Linked DNA regions of Kluyveromyces lactis. The protein of the gene in region 1 purifies or fractionates together with the protein of each later gene. This does not show direct contact. Links are inferred from orthologs where the notes say so. Each region holds a gene or a part of one and is shown on either strand. Other genes may lie near its edges.

The links.
Region 2: the proteins of CDC53 (region 1) and DAS1 purify together in Saccharomyces cerevisiae (affinity purification with mass spectrometry; 4 studies listed by BioGRID, with this or other methods). This does not show direct contact. The link is inferred for Kluyveromyces lactis from reciprocal best matches to the Saccharomyces cerevisiae genes CDC53 and DAS1.

Annotation. Positions count from the first base shown.
Region 1 is NC_006042.1:536,221-540,821, reverse strand, and holds CDC53 (cullin CDC53), read right to left. Parts: upstream 2,902-4,601; coding exon 463-2,901; downstream 1-462. Other genes in the region: SRF1 (phospholipase D regulator), read right to left, coding at 3,717-4,601. UniProt on the Saccharomyces cerevisiae protein: Core component of multiple cullin-RING-based SCF (SKP1-CUL1-F-box) E3 ubiquitin-protein ligase complexes which mediate the ubiquitination and subsequent proteasomal degradation of target proteins.
Region 2 is NC_006037.1:558,616-562,388, reverse strand, and holds DAS1 (SCF ubiquitin ligase complex subunit DAS1), read left to right. Parts: upstream 1-1,394; coding exon 1,395-2,993; downstream 2,994-3,773. Other genes in the region: PAM17 (Pam17p), read left to right, coding at 1-249; OAF3 (Oaf3p), read right to left, coding at 3,048-3,773. UniProt on the Saccharomyces cerevisiae protein: Substrate recognition component of a SCF (SKP1-CUL1-F-box protein) E3 ubiquitin-protein ligase complex which mediates the ubiquitination and subsequent proteasomal degradation of target proteins. Probably recognizes and binds to phosphorylated target proteins.

The DNA.
Region 1 (4,601 bases):
ACTCATCTGAAATCTGAATTTTTTCTTTCCCATAATTGAAATATGGTCAATGAAAAGAAATATGGTAAAATTCCCACTCAATTTCGAGCTAAAGTCTAATCATGACCAATTTTCGTGAATATTCCTGTGGATTTTAAATCCGATGAACGTAGATTTTTGCAGCAGGTATTGACAAACACCTTCCGAATGATGCTAAGGTAGTCACTGAGAGTAGTGAGAGCAGCAAGAGAGCAGAGAGGGCTACCCAAGCATTTAGGTTTGGCTATTGAGTAATGAATAGTATACTCGTCGGTCCTTTCATGATGTCTCTCTTTTTTTCTTGGGAATATTCATGCTTGAAAATATGGGGCCCAAGGTTGACCTTTGGTCGAATGGTCGAATGGTTGCGAAATATATGTTGATACATATACATTTCTTATACATATGTATGGCGAAGTAAAAGGTGGATAAAAAAGTGAGCGTTTACGCTAGATATTCATAGCATTCACCGTCGTCTGTCCTTTTCAAATACTCTTGTTCTATTAGATTGTCGACAGCTTTTTTGATCATGGACACCTTGGCGTTGAATCTCTGTTGAGATTCGGCAATACACTCGTTCATCAATGAACTGTGTGGTAGTTTTCTCTTTGCCTTCATAATTCTCACTATGCATGCTCTTAAGAACATCAATCTTTGTTGATTTAGTTCCTTTTCTGCTTTCTTTTGCTCAGATGCCTCTGTTTCATCTAATGCAGATCCATTAACGGTTGCAGTAAAGGTTAGATCATTTTTCACAGCGGCTGCAAAATTAACACTAGTTTTCGATAATCGATAGGGTTTGTTTAAGGTGTACTTTGTATCTAACTTGATCATACTTTCCACCCCTTCTGGAGATTGTATTAATAGTTTCATCTTCACAAACGGATACATATTAGACGCAATCTGTGTAGCCTTCAAATTGGTTCTCTCTTGTATTTGTTCAAAGGTCAACGTAGATATATCATTAAACAAGGTAAGAATCGCCATTTGGAAAATAGTCACAGTGAATTGGAATGGTGGTTTGCCTGGTTTACCAATATGTGCCTTGATTTCACCACGAGACATTGGCCATAGCCATTTCAATATTCTACCAGAATGCTTGTCAGTATACATGGTTTCCAATTTGTTCTTACTATGTTCAAGAACTGGTGGTAATGCGAATTCTGTTGGTTGATAGCTGAAGGGCCATACATTGTCTGCAAGAATTAGAGGTTCTAATTCAGGAACTTTGCTTCTGAAAGTTGCGGCGCTAGTAGTATTATTCCCATCTTGTGAAATGAACGTGGAAAATTCATCATGCAAGTTTTTAGATAATTTGACATCTTGTAGCATCTTGGTAATCTTGCTGGTGTATTCAAGACTGTTCTCGGACTGTAGTCTTTGGATAATGATTTCTTCATCAGCTTCTGATTTTGATGATCCATGAATTAATCTTTTTGCTAAATTTTTTCGGTAATGCATCTCAAATGCATCCTTGTCGGCCAAGAACTTAAAGACAGTCATGATATCATCCACGGTCAAATCTACCTGTTCATTATTCTTGGTCGACTTTTTGAGCAACTGGTCACTGTATTTCGCCAACATCTCAGGAGCTCTAGAAGTCGCAAATTTAGGTGAACCAGGAGGAATAGCGAATGAGTTATTGTTAATGAAGCAACGGCATCCATAGTCTAAAGCCTTAGCAAAAGCAGGATGATTTTCAAAACATTCTATGGTGATATTGTAAAAGAGTTTGTAAACTCCTATTAAACATTTCAAGTAATCTCTAGGTGATAATCCCGGTTGCCTTTTAGCGTTTGAATCTTGTGCTGCACTCTTATTATGTGCATCAATTAATTTATCGATTTCTTCATTTCCGACTCTCTTGATGTACATATCAAAAGTATCCACCAAATCTGGTAACATTCGGTAATCGCGTTTCATCAATTCGTATATGAGCTTAATCAATCTTTGATCTTGCTTATCCAAAAGTAAAATAAACTCTTTTTTTAACTTATCGGCATGATCAGCAATCAAAACTTGGTTCAAAGCTGTAGACAATGGTGCCGATGTATGGGAATCCAAATATAAAATCATGTCCTTTTCTTCGAAGATTATGCATTCATTTGCCTTTTCGATGTATTCAGAGACACTGTGAGAGTCTAAGAATTCGTTGGACATCTTCGTGTAGTATTCTTTTGTCTTCTGTAGGAATGGCTGTTCGAAGTTTTGAATATACACATTCAAATTCAACTTCTTTAAGTCTGATGGATCGATACCTAATATCACAAAGGATTTTATTGCTATTGTAATAGCAGATTTATTCACTAATTCACCCCTCCGCTGCAAATCCAATTGATCGAATATTTCAGTAACGAGTTCCGTCTTATGTGTTTCAAACATAACTTCTTTCCACGTCATCAAGCACAAAGTATGTGCATCGAAAATGTGTCTTTTACCATCGCTTCTTTCCTTTTGCACCCAGTAACGGTTCATATAGTCGAAGACCCGATTTAAGAAAATAGCTCCGATTGTAAATCTTTCCCAGCGTCTCACGTAGAAATTCAAAAACGTTACATTATCATCTTTCTTTAAATTCGATATGTAATCTTTCAAATAATTCTTTAAGTTCTCATAGATTTCTCCTCCAACAAGAATCGAAGATTGATTCATTTGCTTCCCTATAATATCAGATTGGAAATGACCTGTAGAACGTGACTTGTTGACACAGTAATTATAAATCGCCGTGTATACCTCCATGTACATCCTTGGGGAAAGAACTTTCTGAACTCTGTTTGTCTTTATATCCGATGTACCATCACGATCCAAGATCTGGTCGATCCCAGGCTTCACAAAGTTCCATGTTGCTTCCAAATCATCTGATCTAGGTAATGTGTCTGCCATAGCTTATTAGACTTGTTTCTTATTGATTGCACGTGTAGTTTCTTTTACCAGTAATATTTCTATTGAACGATGCCTAAGTTATCTTTTCTGAAGCGTTAATGAGACTTGCTTCCCACTAACCCAGTTAAATATACGCTTTAGAATAATAGTATTCCCAAGGGCGCAGGTAGCGGTACTTGTAAATAAAGATTTGGTAGTAAACTGAAATCAGCAGCGATAGAAAATACAGTTCGAGTCCCAATTAGTCGAGCAACCCTTTTCAATGAATCGAAAGAAAGGATAAAACAGAATAGAAAGCGCCTTCACTGCTAAATATGAAATGCACCACTTGTTGGCGGGATCCTATAAAAAAGGGTCACACAGGAAAACTTTATATTGCTTCTATCGTGAAGTATCTCCGAGTTGTTCGATATTTTGACCCTTTTTGACAGCCTTACTTGTTATATACTGATTTATATAATTGCATACTATGTTACTATAATTTCTTATATTTTTGTTTTCGTTTGCCACACATTATTGGAATATCAAAAAATCCTGAATTGTTCCTCAATATGAATCTGATCTTATTATTAAAGTACTTAAAAGAGGGTAAGGATTACAGCTTTCGGCAAATATACTTTAGCATACTGCAGTCGTCTAATTATGTTGTTTAATACAGGGCCCAAACTTATATGTTTATAAGGTTTTCTTTGGTACTTTTGATTTTCTTTTGTTGGGTTTGTAAACAAATTATGTACTCTCATGGAATAATGATTTATTTAAAACAATTAATCTACAGGCGTCTTAAGTCGGAAGGGCCCGTTTCAAGAATAGTCTTAGGGTCTTGGAGCACCAGAACTGACTCTTTCCACGACCCTTAATATGCTAATACTGAACGTTACAACCCAAGTGACCAAGACCAAGAAAAGGAACGCCGCGAGCGCCCTTTGTTTGTCACATATATATCCTACGTGCGGAGGATCAACTTGTGACGTTCCAGTAGATGTGCAGACCCATCGATTATCATATAATGTATTGAAGGTAAGCGATAAATTAGCACTTGAAAATATGATGAATAAAAGGTCCAGCATAATTAGTCTGACTTTAGTCATAGGATCTCTAATTCCTAGCGGTTTCCCTGAAAATTCGTCATATCCGATATAAACCAAATATAATATAGCGATGGAATTAACACATAGCGCCATGATAGTACTTGGTTGTTGAGGTATTGATGATTCGAAGGATTCGACAGTGGAATCCGAGTTCTGGTATATTCTACTTGCTAGGCCAAGAGAGATTATGCAGAGTATCACAATGAGAAATCTCAACGACAAAGGTAGATATTGACTTTGCAATAAAAGTCTTCGTAGTCTTGGTAACCATTGTTGTTTTTTTCTTTGTTCAAGGGTAGCCCAAGAGTTTTTCTTACTATTCACACTATTTCTCCCCTTGTTTAAAATAGAATGAAACCTCCCATCGTCACTTGAATGAGTTTCCGAAGATTGTTTCGCAGAGTCCTTATTCAAGTAGTAAAAAGCTTTGAGTTGGGAAACGTATTTAAGCCACTCATTCTTGTCTCGTTGATTACTCAATTCGTAGCTTTCAGGAATCGGAGCGTTGAAGATAGCATCCAATCGTTTCCCACCTTCCCAATCTCCATCTAAATTTTGAAAGATTTCTTGTCTGACTCTTTCTACTTCCTCATCATAACTGCTATCTGT
Region 2 (3,773 bases), on another chromosome or scaffold:
TGGTTATTGGGACCAATTGTGGGTACTGCATTGTTTAAGGCCACTTCCGGTCCCAAATTATTACAGTTTCAAGAGAAGCAACTTTCATTTTTGGCCAAAATCCAAAAGAACAGAGTCAATCCTCAATCACAATCTTTCAGTAACCCTGTGCCGGATTACTACGGTGAAAAGATTAATTCGATACCACAGTACAGACAATGGCTAAGAGATTGTCATTCTTACAAAAGAAAGGCTAGTGAGTTCTTGTGAAGCGGAAAAATACCAGAAAAAGTATGATGACTATCACTCTCCCACCCAAGGAAACGCCTTTCCGTAAGTACAAGTAAATAGTAAATAATAAATAGTGGTTGATATCTAAAGAAACATTCGTTAAATCAGCATTAGCAATTGCGTAATGGTATATGCCAGAGAAACCGGAATGAAAAGGATCGATACCCAACAAAAAAAAGTATATTTGGATGCGGCGAGGTTCGAACTCGCGCCTGTTAACATTAACAGACCTGCATATTCCGGGTAACCGTGTCCGTCACTCGCAATCCACTTCTGCTCTACCCGCACCCAATAGCCGCCAAGCAATCAGTGAAGATTTTCTGGAGGACCCACAAATTTTTGATTTTCGGACCAGGCCCCTTACAACTCGCACAAAACTGCGTAGAAAACCTCTGTTTAAAGGTTTAAGGAAACGGCTATCGCAATTTTCTTGGCCCCCCCAAAGGTAAAGCAGAATGTGTCAATTGGAAAGCGACGGAGACGGTTTTGATGCCGCATTGAGTCCGCATGCTCATTTCTTGTCCCTGAAGCAGGCGCCTTAACCACTCGGCCACACACCCAGTTCTTATACTGTTAGTAGTTCAACTAAATTGGGAGTAGTTCTTCATTTCAATTTATTATATTCCAGCGCAGTGTAGCCCCTTTATTAACTGGGTTAACTGGGTTTCTTCGATAATCTACCGGTTGAATATGGGTCTATTTACCCCAGTTATATACCATAAAATGGCTCTCTGGAAGTTCTTCTTCAAGGTACCCGGCTGTTCTGTCTGTTCTTTTCATTGATGTCGCGGGTTTGATTGAGGAAAGGAACGCATAACGGATTTCCGTACAATGTGATCTTCATTTCTACTCACGTGACTTTGATTTCAATTTCTTGGAATTCGAAACTTCACTTCCGTTCGTTCTTTGCCAGGAATTCATTACCCTTTAACATGCCTACCTTATGCTTGAATACAATAGCCCAGTCATTCGATTCTTATTGCCGGCTTCTACCATCAAAAACACTAAACTTCTTTCACTCTTGATGGCTGTATGCTGTATATTAGAGGAGCTTTATGTTACTAAGAGGAGAGATTGCTGTTTAAAGACGCCGTACAAATTGCTCTTTTGATTACTTATTATCCATGATTGATACATTCCCACTGGAATCACTTCCAGACGAGCTTTTAGCTGAAGTCATTACTCATGTACCGCAGCGAGATAGATTGAACCTATGTTTGGTGAATAAACGGGTTTCAAAACTAGCACTGCCGATTTTGTATCGGAGAATTTATTTGAACGATTCGAATGTAGTAGAGAGTGATATAGTCAACCTCGCTATCAACTGGACATACTTGTACATGCCCCCAAACGAGGCAGAGTGCTGGTCTCGTGGGTTGGCTAATGCGAAACTTGATCTTCTTATACGCACTTTATCTAGGAACAGTGAAAGGTTGAATTCCATTCAATGGATACGGATTAATTGGGATTTGGATAAAGAGAAGCAGGCAGAAGTTTTAAGGTTGCTATGTACGTACTCTAAATCCATTATACGATTGGAAAACGTTACGGACCCGGATTGTAACGATATTATTGCAAATGGAATCCAATCGCGTCATAATGTCACCAGTTTCGATAGTGCCCCACCTAATTCCATGCCCGAGGGAGAAGTTTCCAGAACGTATTTGCCTAATTTAGCTCAATATTTAAAGCAACGGATTTCTTCTAACTTGTCACACATGACTCTTTTCATGGATCCCATCCAGTTGTTCAATTGCATATACCCATTGCAATTTAAATTGCAAATCCATGACTTGAAACTACATTGGAGGAAAGAATATTATCCGCCCGATCAATTGAAACCGCTGAACCAATACCCGAAGCTTACTAAACTTTCAGATGTCTTCGATGTGAGAACTTTAAAGGTGTTAACAATCATATCATGGAATGAGAATTTGAATAAACGAGAATTGGAAATTTTGACTGAATTTTACGAGTTTACAGAAATTCGGGATTTATCTCTTATATCTATGAGACAAAATCCAGCCATACTCATCGAACTTTTCAAACGTTTGAAGAATTTGAAAAGGTTGAAGACAGATTTTTTGCATGAGTTCACTCCACATCCTGTTTCAACGGATGTATTCCTGTCCATTTTATTAAATTGTAGAGAGCTACAATTCCTAGATTTGAGATTCGAAAATATCGACAGGCAGATCATTTCTATCGAGGGGTCAAGGTTCAAATTCTTACATAACTGCCATTGTGATGATTGTAATCATGTGTTTCAGGATATACTATACGGTAAATTTTTCAATTCGTCGAAAGATATGGTGATCAGAGATTTAAGCGATTTGATCGCTAAGGATATATTCACAATGATGAAATACCTCTCTTTATTACCTTATTCAAAAGCATTTGACATATACCCTTCTGTTAGGACACAACCAATGAATCTCTCGGACTTCGTCACCAAGATTAATGAATACAATAGGCACTATAAATCCATGCATAGAAACTCAACCCCGATTGAACCCATCACAGAATCTGACGTCATCAAGTGCTATCATGCAATGGTTCATCACAATAAAAAGACATATACAACTATACTCTCAAATTTGAAAAGATTACGATATTTGGTTTTGAACGACGTACCTTGTATCGTTCTCGAGAGAGAAGGTGCCCGTGTTCCTGTTCCAGTTTTCTTTAATAATGGTTACAAATCGAATATGGGAAATTGTTAAATATTGTACTTTTCTATACAAGGAACAAGAGGGAAAGTACCAAGCCCAAAAAAATTATGGAAGAATGCTGTCCATCTTGGGGAGTTCACCTACATCCATCCCATAAAAGAGGTCAAAATCTGTTGAGTCAAAGACTTGTTGCAAAAATTGAGTGACATCTATTGCATCTGCCTTGGCCGAATGCCTCTCTTCTAATTTTTCAAGAGCGTGCTGATAACTTGATGAGAAGAGATTTGGTTCGTAGTTTTTACACATCATTTCAACTTTCAAATTAACTACTTTTTCAGTGAAACTGAATCTGGCATTCCAGACTTTTATTACATCGTCGTCTGACATTTCTGCGTCTTTACTGGTTATACCCAATTTTTCTAGAACTTGATGATTCTCATGTTTTAGAATCGTCAACATATGATCTAATGAATCCTCTCTATTGATCAAATTTAAAGTTAGTTTATATTTGAACAATCTTTTGAATACATGATAATAGTATGGGAATTCATTAAAGTACGTTGTCAATATTTTATCCATTAACTGTAGGATTTTTTGTTTGCAGGGGTTACGAGCTCTTAGTATTATTGCTGGCAAGAGAACTAGGGCTTTATTCATTGATATCTCTATGATTCTACTGGAATAAGACACAGGCGCTAATGGTCTAATGAAATGCTCATTCCATAGAGTAATTAAATCTTCTAATGATGCGATAACGGCCGAGATCCCTTCGTTAATATGATTCAAGCGTCCATGGTTGATTTGTAACTTTGTCACAGCAACAATAACTTT